Diceros bicornis minor: one gene and its partners. The protein of the gene in region 1 interacts with the protein of each later gene in a biochemical or structural test. Links are inferred from orthologs where the notes say so. Each region holds a gene or a part of one and is shown in the gene's direction. Other genes may lie near its edges.

Region 1 (3,747 bases):
AGGGCTGTTCCTCCTCCGGAGTCCCCCACTCTCCCCATCTCCAAAGTCCAACTCCCCCCACCCCATCCGTGGCCCTCTGGGCTTTTCCCCCCTGTGTCCAGCCTCCTTGCCTCACTTCCAGCTTTGCTTATCCAATAAGCGAATCCGGAATACCCAATACCCTGGCCTCTGCCATCATTTCATACGTTCCCAGGCCCGCTGGAACCCAGCTGGGCCGGAGGGCTGTGGGAGATGACTCAAACGGAGGTCGGGGTCAGCGAACTCCAGCCCCTAGGGGCCCTCATCACTGCACTCCCCTCCCCTACTTATGAGCCTGCCCCTCTCCTCTCAGGCAGAGGCTTGAACCCTGCCCCAAGCGCACCCGCCTGTCTAGGCCTCCTCTGTCACTGACCGGCCGGGGACACTTGTCTGCACATGGCCATCTCCTTGCACCCGCTCCGTTCAGATTGCTGGCGGCACCCCTAAGAACCCTTTCCAGGGAGCGGCGGCGTCCGAGGCCCCCGCCTCCCCTCCCCAGTCGCTCGCGGCCGCGCCTCCTCCTCCCGGGAACCACCCCGCGCCGTCGCCCGGGCTGTCCCCACACCGACCGGCTCCGTCCCGTCCAGGCCGCATCGCCGCTGCCACTGCACGTGTAGCCAGAGGCCCGGCTCCTCGGTCCCGCCGGCCCCCTCTCCGCCGGCTCGCTGTCAGGCCGCGGCACCGCGGGCCCCGCGGGCTCGACGGACACAGCGGCGCGCACCCCGCCTGCGGCCACAGGGCGCCGGCCAGCCGAGGCCGCGGCCCCGCCCCCGGCCCGGCCCGCCCCCCGCCGCCATTGGCCGCGACCGCTCGGCTCTCCGCGCACTGATTGGCCGGCGCGCGGGTCGGTCAGGCGGGCACCGCGGCGGCGGCGGCGGCGGCGACGCGAGCGGACCGGAAGGGTCGAAGCGCTCGGCGCCCCTCACACCCACGGCGACGGCGGCGGTGGCGGGCGGGGCGGCGGAGCCGGGGCCGCGGAGCCGCGAGCGGCCAGCGCAGCGCCGCCAGTCCGCCCGCCCGCCCTCTCCCCGGCACGGCGGTGGAGAGGCGAGGTGAGCCGGCGGGCGGGCGGGCGGGCGGGCGGCTAGGCCCGGCGGGGGCCGCTCGGGGAGGGGCCGCTCAGGGAGGGGCGGCGGGAGGGCGGCGCGGCGGGGGCGGGGGGCTGGGGGCCGCGGGCGCTGGCGTCGCCCCTGAGCTCGGCCGCCGCGGGCCCCCGCCCGCCGCTGACAGCGGCCCGGGGCTGCGCGCTCGCCGGCCCGGCGGGCAGACGGCCGCGGGTCCATGGGCGCCGCCCCCGCCGTGGGGCGCAGCCGCAGCCCCGCCGGGATGCTCAGGGCCCGGCCGGGCGCCGACCCTCACGGCGCCCCGGTCTCCCCCGGACAGGCTTGCGGACAGGGTTGTTGTCAGGCTCGGGGAAGGTGTGTGAAAGCGCTGGGCGGGAGCCAGCCCCTGCGGGTGCTAGTGTGGCAGGAGCCCCCACCCGCGCTTCTCCGGGGCCTCGTCATTGCCCACTCGGTGCCCAGCGACGCCAGAGCCGGCGTGCCCACCTCCCCACCACTCCCCCACCCGGAGCACCGCACTCCTCTGCCACCCGTCTTCTCCCCCGCCTTGAACCTGTGGCCCCGTTTACCTCAGGACCTTTGCACTGACTGTTTCCAATGCTTGGAGTCGTCGCCCGGATCTTTGCACAGCTGGGGCTCCTGCTGGTCCTTCCTCCGGTCAGACGGCTCCTTCTCTCTGAGGCCTTCCGTGACCACCCTCTTTCTTCTCGTAGTCCTTCTGTCTCATGTTGGTTAACTTTCCTCCAAGCATTCACTCAGGTGTGAAACGACTCTATTTATGGGTCTGTTTATTTTGTCTCCCCCACTAGGATGTAGCCTTATGAAAACAGGTAGTTGTCTAATTAGTCCACTGCTTTATCCCCAGTGCTTAGAAAGCCCACAGTAAGTACTCAGTAATACCTGTTCACTGAGTGAAGCAGCCACTCTGCCTGCCTGCGGCCTCTGCTCTATCTGTCCGTGTAGTGACTCATGAGTGACGAGTGAAACTTGTAAGCGGATGGAAGCTGGTTCTCGTTTTGTGAAACATTTGAATGTCCTTGACCCCTTTATTTGGTAACTGTCAGAACAAGCTGTGATATAAACTTACATTTCTGTAGCGTTGTCGCTCTAACTTCGCACGTTCAAGAGACATTGCATTATCTGGGTCAGGCTTTCTGCTTGACCCTGAGGACACAAAGGCAATACAACAGGGTCCCTTCCTCAGGAGAGCCCAGTGGAGAAGGCAGACGTGCAGACCTTCGGTGCCAGGACAGAGTGCCACTCTGCGGTGGAGGGGCTGTGCCCTGGAAATGAGGAGGCCACCGGTGGTACTGGAGTCGGGCCTTGCGTGGTGCTGAGAAGTGTGCCAGGCGGGGAGAGGCACAGAAAGGGGTAGGGCAGGGCGAAGGAGGGACTTGAGCCTGGTGTGGGGTTGGGAGTTGGCCTGCAGGGCCAGGTGTAAGACAGTCCGGAGTGGTGGGGACCCCGGAGAACCAGACCTTGCCTAGCGTTTTTTAAAATGCAGAATTCTAGATTTGTATCTCTACTCTCCTGATTTTTAAATATTGGCAGTAGCTAATTAAAAATTTTTTCAGGGGCCGGCAGTGGTGCAGGGGTTAAGTGCGCGCGCTCTGCTGCGGCGGCCCCGGGGCGGCCCCGCAGGTTCGGATCCCGGGCGCGCACCAACACACCGCTTATCAGGCCATGCTGTGGCAGCGTCCCATATAAAGTGGAGGAAGACGGGCACAGATGTTAGCCCAGGGCCACTCTTCCTCAGCAAAAGGAGGAGGATTGGCATCAGATGTTAGCTCAGGGCTGATCTTCCTCACAAAAAAAAAAAAAAAATTTAATGCCACGAGCTGAGCAAAATACAGACCTCATTCAGTTTGGCTGCAGGATTGTCAGCCTCCAGGGCAGGTTCGTAGGAGGGAAGAGCTGCAGTGAGCTGGAAAGGTAGCCTGAGGCCAGGGGAGCTAGGCCCTGCTTGTCCAGATACTCTCCTTTAATTGTCACTGGAGCCCTGTGAGGAGCACCTATGAAACCCATTTCTGCAGAGGAGGAAATGGAGGCTCACAGAGTTTCAGCTGTTTGCGTCACAGCCAGCAGCTGGAAGGTGAAATTTGAACCCAGGTCTCCCCCAGATTAGCGTTCTTTCCTAGTCCCTCAGCTCTAAGTATTCTCTTTTGGCTTTTAATTTGTTCTGGAAGAACAACATCTGATCTAGATAATGTTTTCTTTCATTTAACCGTTTTTTTCCCTTCAAAAGGATACTACAGGGTTAAAAATAATCCTATTTTGGTATAGTCTTCTCTGGAGAGCTTTTAAATTTTCCTGAGAATTTTCAGGATGCCAGGACTTTAAATAATTTGTTGATGACTAAAATGTGTTTATATGGCCCCCCCTAAATAAATGTTAGGGCGTACACTTCAGTTTGTCTATTTAAAATAAAATTTTAGTTTTCTGGATAAAGAAAAGTGCCAGGTGAAGCAATTAATAGTGAGTAAAGCAATTGTTTTTATGGTGCATAAAGTAAAACAGAAACTACATTTTTTTCTTAACGCTATTGATTCAGCAGTAGGGCAGCTATTTTTGGTCTAAATATGTAGTTATACTTCACTCCTGGTTAAGAAGGTGACATTTTTACTTAATTTTCCTTAAAAATAATTAAATTTGTACTTGGCCTTTTGTG
Region 2 (3,747 bases), on another chromosome or scaffold:
CAGCATAGCATGGCCACTAACAGAGCCGTAAATGTCCACACCCGGGAACCGAACCTGGGCCACCGAAGTGGAGCATGCTGAACTTAACTACTATGCCACTGGGGCTGGCCCAACTTGCCTTTTTTTTAATAGTTAATGCAAATTTCCACAGAGGCTCCTGATCATACTTTTCAACTTGTGCCAGTGTGTATTTATTGAAAAAGCAATATCCCTACACTTAACACTGAAATCTTTAAGTTGTATAGAGAATCGTAGAGCAACATTAAGAAGAAACATTTTCAGCAATGTACTTCTTTCTGTGTTTTTAGGAGTGTCTCTATGTCAACTGCAGAGTAGTAAATATGGTCTTTTTTGTCCCTCAGGTTAAATTAACCAAATAAACTCCCCCCTCCTTCTTTTTTCAAAGAGCTACTTTCAAAGCTTCACAGACATTTCATTGGCATTATATTGTGGAAAGAGTGCCATTTCTATGCCATAGTCTAATTTGGTGTCCTTTGGTCCTCTCTAAAATGTTAATACAGAGTTGTGGATGTTTTAAAGGTTTGAAACTATCTCTACTAAAATTGATATTTTTAAATGTATAACTACTAAGTAAACGAAAATTGATAAAATAGGATTCACCATAATATGGAAGATTTTTCTCTTAAAAACAAGCCTTGCGCTATTTTAAATTACAGTAATCTAGTGGAAGTCACTGTATTTCCTTTTGGTAAGTTACTTAGAACATAACTATATGCTAATATCATACACGGTACTAGGCGTTTAGAAGCCGGAAGAATCAGTCCCGTTACAGTTTAGAAAAATTCGAACAAATGCCATTCAGAGTAATGGCTTTTTCTTTTCTTTTCAGAACTGACTTATCTTGCTTTCCCGCTTTGGGCGTGTAGCGGGGGTTGGGGGATAATTTCCGGTAAACTCCGCCTCTTCCAAACCTCAGCTTAACCGAAGCTCCCCTTCTCGGGCTGCAGGGTAGCCAGAAGACGGGTTTAGGCGCGCGCCTCCCTACGCTTTACCCGGCTTCCTACAAGGGCCGGGACGTGACAGCAATGGAAATACCGAGCTCCCGGGGAGGGACTCGGAGGACTCGTCCCGTTTTCTCTCCCGCCACTAGCAGCATTCCTAGAGTTCACTTTCCCTTCCCGCACACCGTCAGGCCCTTCCGGCGACCTCAACATCCACCTGCTCCAGCGCCCGCCTCAAGCGGCTGCCAATCACAGGCTTCCGCAGGTCCTTGGTTACGGAGGACCAAGGCGCTCTGGTCCCGCCCCCTCCAGAACTGCTTCCCGCCCTTCGAGCTGTTGTCCAATCACCAGCACCGAGTGTTCTTTGGTTCCCGCCCCCTCAGCCCCGCCCCCTTGAAATCCCGCCCCCTCCTTTAAACCTGACGGACTCGCTTGACCCGGAGGCGCTTCGTCTGAAGTAAGACAAGAAGCGGCGTGTGCGTGGAGGGCAGGGACTCGAGAAGAAAGGGGGGATGCCGGGAGTGGGGCGGGGAGAAGGAGGTGTCAGTCCGATCTCGCGAGAGAGGACGGAAGCCTGTGGGAGCCCGTGGCCTTTAAAGTGCGGTTCAGCCTTTCCTCCACGGGTAGTTTGTAAACACGGCTGAGCTCGGGCCTCGCCGGTGACCGAAAGAAGCATGAACTAGTGACCTAGAGAGGTGAGTAGTCATGGGGAGTGCGCCGCAGGACTGGAGACCGTAGGGATACAGAGAAAGAAGGCACTAACATGGCGACGTCGCTCACCATAGTCCCCACCCCCCGCTTCCTATCACCTCGGGCGCGCCTGCTTCGGTGCCTAACCCTCGAGGCGACTGTGGCTGAGCTGGCACTTCAGCGGCCGGCGCGGCGTCGCCTTCAGGAGCCCGACTGGCCGGGCCGGACCGTTAGGTAACGCGTTCGTTGTTCCGGCCCCTCCCCGCTCGCGCGCTTTCCTAACGAAGAGGAAAGGGGAATAACGGCTCCTCTTAGACCCCTCCTCCCGATTGATCTTCCCCTTCTCCGGTCAGTTCAGAGGTCCCTAGGGCACACGTCGATGCGCCGAGGGCGCAGGGAGACCCTCTCTGCAGTCCTTGGATTGAGCAGGAAGAGGGCCGGCTCTGGTCTCCGCACCCAGGACTCAGACGTTGGGGACTGTGTGTGTGTGTGATGGTGGCGGGGAGGAGGATCCGGAGGCGCGGCTGGAAATAGGGTCAGGGTCTCTGGCTGCGGTGAAACGTGATGGAACAAATGGTATGGAGAACTCTCGGCCTTTTCTGTCCTTTCTGCCCCCTCACACTCCCGCCACCCCCGCTTTATCCCCGTGGGCGGGGCTGAGGTGTGGGTGCAGATTGATTCTAGTATTTTCCCCCATTCTTTTACCTTCCTGGGTGGACTGCAGAGCTAGTTGTAGGGACCAGAGCAGAGAGAGGGACAGAGATCTATATTCGCTCGTGGAACCGACGCTAGAAGGAGGGAGAGGGCGGAGGAGATGGGAACTGTTTTTGTGCCCTTAGGTAGTATGAAATTGTCTTTGCTTAAGGAGTCTTAAAACTGGTGAGGCCAAGATCAAAACTACTGTGAATGTGATGGAGTAAAAGGGAGTACTCCTGATGGACCCTAGGCCTACTGACTAATTCCTCAATTAAAATGTGAAAGTTAACAGTTTCTTAGGAATTTTAAATAATGGAGACGGTAGCAGTGCATAAACTTAATGTATATATTTGAAATAAGCACACTTTTTTGTCCCATTTGAAGAAATTCATAACCGCCGGCATTGTCAGTAATAGCGTTTCTAGGTGTAATCTTTAAATAGCTATTTATCCTTGGTCTGTTGTACCAAAACTATGAAGGCGAGAAGCTTGTTAAATAGCCCTACAGGGTTAAGTGTCCTGAAGGACACAGACAGTAGCAGTTATATCTTGTAATAAAATTTGTTATACTGATTTGAGGAATCCACTCTGAACACTTTTTTCAAAACTGCAGGCACATAGTTGTAAAGTATGCTCAAAAAATAGAGATGTCCTTCTGCAGATCAAGAAAGAGAATTAAGGAAGTTCGTGAATCTTTAAGGCCGTCAATAAATGAGTAACAATTAAGAATCCTAGTCTTTGTGACTTATAAGAATCTTCCAAATTTACAGTGGTGTGTATGCTGCATGCCTAAGACATGTTTAATCTTGCTTTGAGAGGATGCGACTACCATTAGGTTTTTAATTATTTGAAGTATAATATTGTGGTAATTTAGAAAGTAGGGTTTGTATTTTAATTAGTAGGACAGGAGCTTTCAGGGACTTTTGTAGGTGTGTTTTTAAGGTAGATAATTCCTGGTGAGGATCTGATTGCATTTCCTGGAAGTTCTTTTTTAAATACCTTATTAGAAGGTGTATTTCATATTTGGGGCATTATCATTATCTATTAAATATATAATTCAGAAATTCCTGAATTTACTTTTTTTACTTAGAGTATTTGTTTCATATTTTTAAACTAAGATAACAGTAGAAATGATCATGTCAGCTCTTTAACAAATAATTTGGAGGTATGCTTTTTGTTGCTATTCAGGATTTGAAAGCTATATGAATATCATTTAAAAAAATGATATGCTGTACATCAAACATCTACCTATAACTAGCATTAACTCTCAAGAAATCATCTACATTTTTTCTGCCTAAATTTTTGTATTTTGGAAAAGTTGGGTTTTAATGATTTATATGTTCTCTGCTGGTGAATTAAATGTAGATCAGGTAAACAGTCCCCCATACATGCTATTTCCA
Region 3 (3,291 bases), on another chromosome or scaffold:
CAGTGACCCCCAATCTCTGACAGTCTCCATCTTCTACCCCACATATTTTCCCTTACTCACTGTACCCCAGAACCCTCACTTTCTGCATATCTAGATACCCCCAATTCCTTCCCCTTCCCACTTGTGGGGGCCCCTCAGTCTCTCCCATGGACTCCAGGACCCCTACTCGTTTTTTGCATGATGGGTCCTCCGGCTCCTCCCCGTCTACCCTTTTGATCTCTCCCCCTCCTCATTTTTCCTGGGTTCAGCCCCTCTCGTGAAAATTCCAGTCCCCCAACCTCTCTGTACCCAGGACCCCCGTCATTCCTGAGTCAGGCGTATTTTTACCCCTCCCCCATCTACTCTACTTAACCCTCCCGTCTCTTCTTTGTGGGGTCTCCGGTGTATTCTCAGTCCTCCAACCCCTTTCGGATACTCTGGGTCCCTCAGGCCTCTCCATGGACATCCTGGGATTGGGACCCCCCCCCCCCCCGCGCGCACACACTTGCTCTGTATCAGTTCCTCGTATCCCTTATCGCGTACTTCAGGGGGATCATGCCCTTCCTGGAGCCCCTCCCCGACTGCCCTAGCAGCCCCTTCCTCGCGCACCCTGGGGTCCCCTGAGCCCCTCCCCCTGCAGCCGCGCCGAGCCACCCAGCCCGTGGCCGCTGTTTACAAGGACACGCGCTTCCTGACAGTGACGCGAGCCGCCTCCTCCCCTTCCCCACGCTCAAGGGGGGGGGCGCGGGGGCCCGGCTCCAGCAACGGCCAATCGGGGCGCACTTCCGCAGCTGACTATCGCGGTATAAAGGCGTGTGACTCCGACTGAGCGGCTGGGACCTTGAGCGCGGCCAGGCCAGCGTCGGAGCCAGCGGGGAGCGGGGAGCAGGGGGAAGCGACACCAAGAAAGCGGGCGCGCCAGAGAGGGGCAGAGGAGCTCGAGAAGCCGCACAGAGCTTCCGCGCACAGCCGCCGGCTGGCGTCTCCCGGCCTGTTCCAGCCCCTAGGAACGCGCGTCCAGACGCCCAGTCCAGCCACCGCCGCGGACAGCGAGCCGCTCGCTGCAGCGAGGCCCGGGGCGGCCCCGCAGGGACCCCGCCAGACCGCCCGGGCCGCCCGGATGTGCACTAAAATGGAACAGCCCTTCTACCACGACGACTCATACGCAGCGGCGGGATACGGCCGGGCCCCGGGCGGCCTCTCTCTACACGACTACAAACTCCTGAAACCCAGCCTGGCGCTCAACCTGGCCGACCCCTACCGAGGTCTCAAAGCTCCCGGGGCGCGGGGCCCCGGCCCAGAGGGCAGCGGTGGCAGCAGCTACTTTCCCAGCCAGGGCTCGGACACAGGCGCGTCACTCAAGCTCGCCTCATCGGAGCTGGAGCGCCTGATCGTCCCCAACAGCAACGGCGTGATCACGACGACGCCCACGCCCCCGGGACAGTACTTTTACCCCCGCGGGGGTGGCAGCGGTGGAGGTGCGGGGGGCGCGGGAGGCGGCGTCACCGAGGAGCAGGAAGGTTTCGCCGACGGCTTTGTCAAAGCCCTGGACGACCTGCACAAGATGAACCACGTGACGCCCCCCAACGTGTCCCTGGGCACCAGCGGGGGGCCCCCGGCCGGGCCCGGGGGTGTCTACGCCGGCCCAGAGCCGCCTCCCGTCTACACCAACCTCAGCAGCTATTCGCCAGCCTCAGCGCCCTCCGGAGGCGCCGGGGCCGCCGTCGGGACCGGGAGCTCGTACCCGACGGCCACCATCAGCTACCTCCCACACGCGCCGCCCTTCGCCGGCGGCCACCCGGCGCAGCTGGGCCTGGGCCGCGGCGCCTCCACCTTCAAGGAGGAACCGCAGACCGTGCCTGAGGCGCGCAGCCGCGACGCCACGCCGCCGGTGTCCCCCATCAACATGGAAGACCAGGAGCGCATCAAAGTGGAGCGCAAGCGGCTGCGGAACCGGCTGGCGGCCACCAAGTGCCGGAAGCGGAAGCTGGAGCGCATCGCGCGCCTGGAGGACAAGGTGAAGACACTCAAGGCCGAGAACGCGGGTCTGTCGAGCACTGCCGGCCTCCTCCGGGAGCAGGTGGCCCAGCTCAAACAGAAGGTCATGACCCATGTCAGCAACGGCTGCCAGCTGCTTCTTGGGGTCAAGGGACACGCCTTCTGAGCGCCCCCGTACAGACATTCCCCCAGCCTGGACGGCTGGGCGCACGCCTCCCACGGGGCGAGGGGGCAGGCGGTGGGCACCGGACCCGGAGCCTGGGGACGCCGCACACCACACTGGACTCCTGCCCGCACGCTCTGCGCTCAGTCCTTCCACCTCGACGTTTACAAGCCCCTCTTCCACATTTTTTTGTATGTTTTTTTCTGCTGGAAACAGACTAAGTCATATTGAATATAATATATTTGTGTATTTAACAGGGAGGGGAGGAGGGGGCGATCGCGGCGGAGCTGGCCCCGCCGCCCGGTACTCAAGCCCGCGGGAACACTGGGGAGGGGACCCCCGCCCCCTGCCCTCCCCCCTCTGCATCGTACTGTGGAGAAGAAACACACCCTTGGACTCTACAGAGTTTATTTTAATATGTGTTTGTGTGTGTGTGCGTGAGTTTGTCGTTCCCACTTTTTATTGAATCTATTTAAGTAAAAAAAAAAAATGGTTCTTTATTAATTTCTGTTGTCTTTTTTTCCAAGCCGGGCGGGCGGAGGGAGGAGAGTACTGGGCTGCCCCCACCCCACTGCTGTTTGTGGCTCGCTCCTGTATCCGGGTTCCCCTCGCCAGCTCTGCCCAGGCATCTTGCAGCTCCAGCTCGAGCGTCCAACCCTACTCGCGTCCGCTGATCTCTGGGGTTGGAAGGTCCAGGGCGGGGACGCGGTCCAGCCGCCCAGCACCAGGGGGCAGAGTGCCCCGGGCGAGGCGCGCAGTGCGCAGGTGCGGCCCCGCCCAGCCGCGCGCCGGGGCTTTCCCCGCTGACGCAGCGGAAGCGCTGCCCATATTTGGGCCGATTCTGCCCAGTGACGCGCCGGCGGTCTCCGGGCAGATTCCGGGAATCCCCTCCCCCGCTCTGCCCGGCAGGGCCGCGGAGCCGGGAAGGGGGCCGGGATTTTCCCAGGCAGGCGGCTGCCGGGACCCGGAAAGCCCCAGGCCTGGGTCCAGAGCGTGCGCGGTGGGCGGGCCGCGCTCCTGCGCCCCGGGAGCCACCCCGGAGCCTCCCGCATCGGTCTGGCGCCCGGGCCCCGCCGCGCCCACGCCCGCCCCGTCTGCCCGGACCCGGGCGGGGGGTTGCTGCTGCCTGCGCGCCGTTGCCGCCGCGGTGC

The links.
Region 2: of the proteins of MAPK9 (region 1) and ATF2, one has a biochemical effect on the other in vitro, tested with the Homo sapiens proteins (4 studies listed by BioGRID and IntAct, with this or other methods). The link is inferred for Diceros bicornis minor from reciprocal best matches to the Homo sapiens genes MAPK9 and ATF2.
Region 3: the proteins of MAPK9 (region 1) and JUNB form a complex in vitro, tested with the Homo sapiens proteins (2 studies listed by BioGRID). The link is inferred for Diceros bicornis minor from reciprocal best matches to the Homo sapiens genes MAPK9 and JUNB.

Annotation. Positions count from the first base shown.
Region 1 is NC_080740.1:93,220,602-93,224,348, reverse strand, and holds the start of MAPK9 (mitogen-activated protein kinase 9), read left to right. Parts: upstream 1-963; 5' UTR 964-1,070; intron 1,071-3,747. UniProt on the Homo sapiens protein: Serine/threonine-protein kinase involved in various processes such as cell proliferation, differentiation, migration, transformation and programmed cell death.
Region 2 is NC_080749.1:55,977,045-55,980,791, reverse strand, and holds the start of ATF2 (cyclic AMP-dependent transcription factor ATF-2), read left to right. Parts: upstream 1-1,523; 5' UTR 1,524-1,657; intron 1,658-3,747. UniProt on the Homo sapiens protein: Transcriptional activator which regulates the transcription of various genes, including those involved in anti-apoptosis, cell growth, and DNA damage response.
Region 3 is NC_080769.1:4,564,210-4,567,500, reverse strand, and holds JUNB (transcription factor JunB), read left to right. Parts: upstream 1-801; 5' UTR 802-1,099; coding exon 1,100-2,143; 3' UTR 2,144-2,644; downstream 2,645-3,291. UniProt on the Homo sapiens protein: Transcription factor involved in regulating gene activity following the primary growth factor response. Binds to the DNA sequence 5'-TGA[GC]TCA-3'.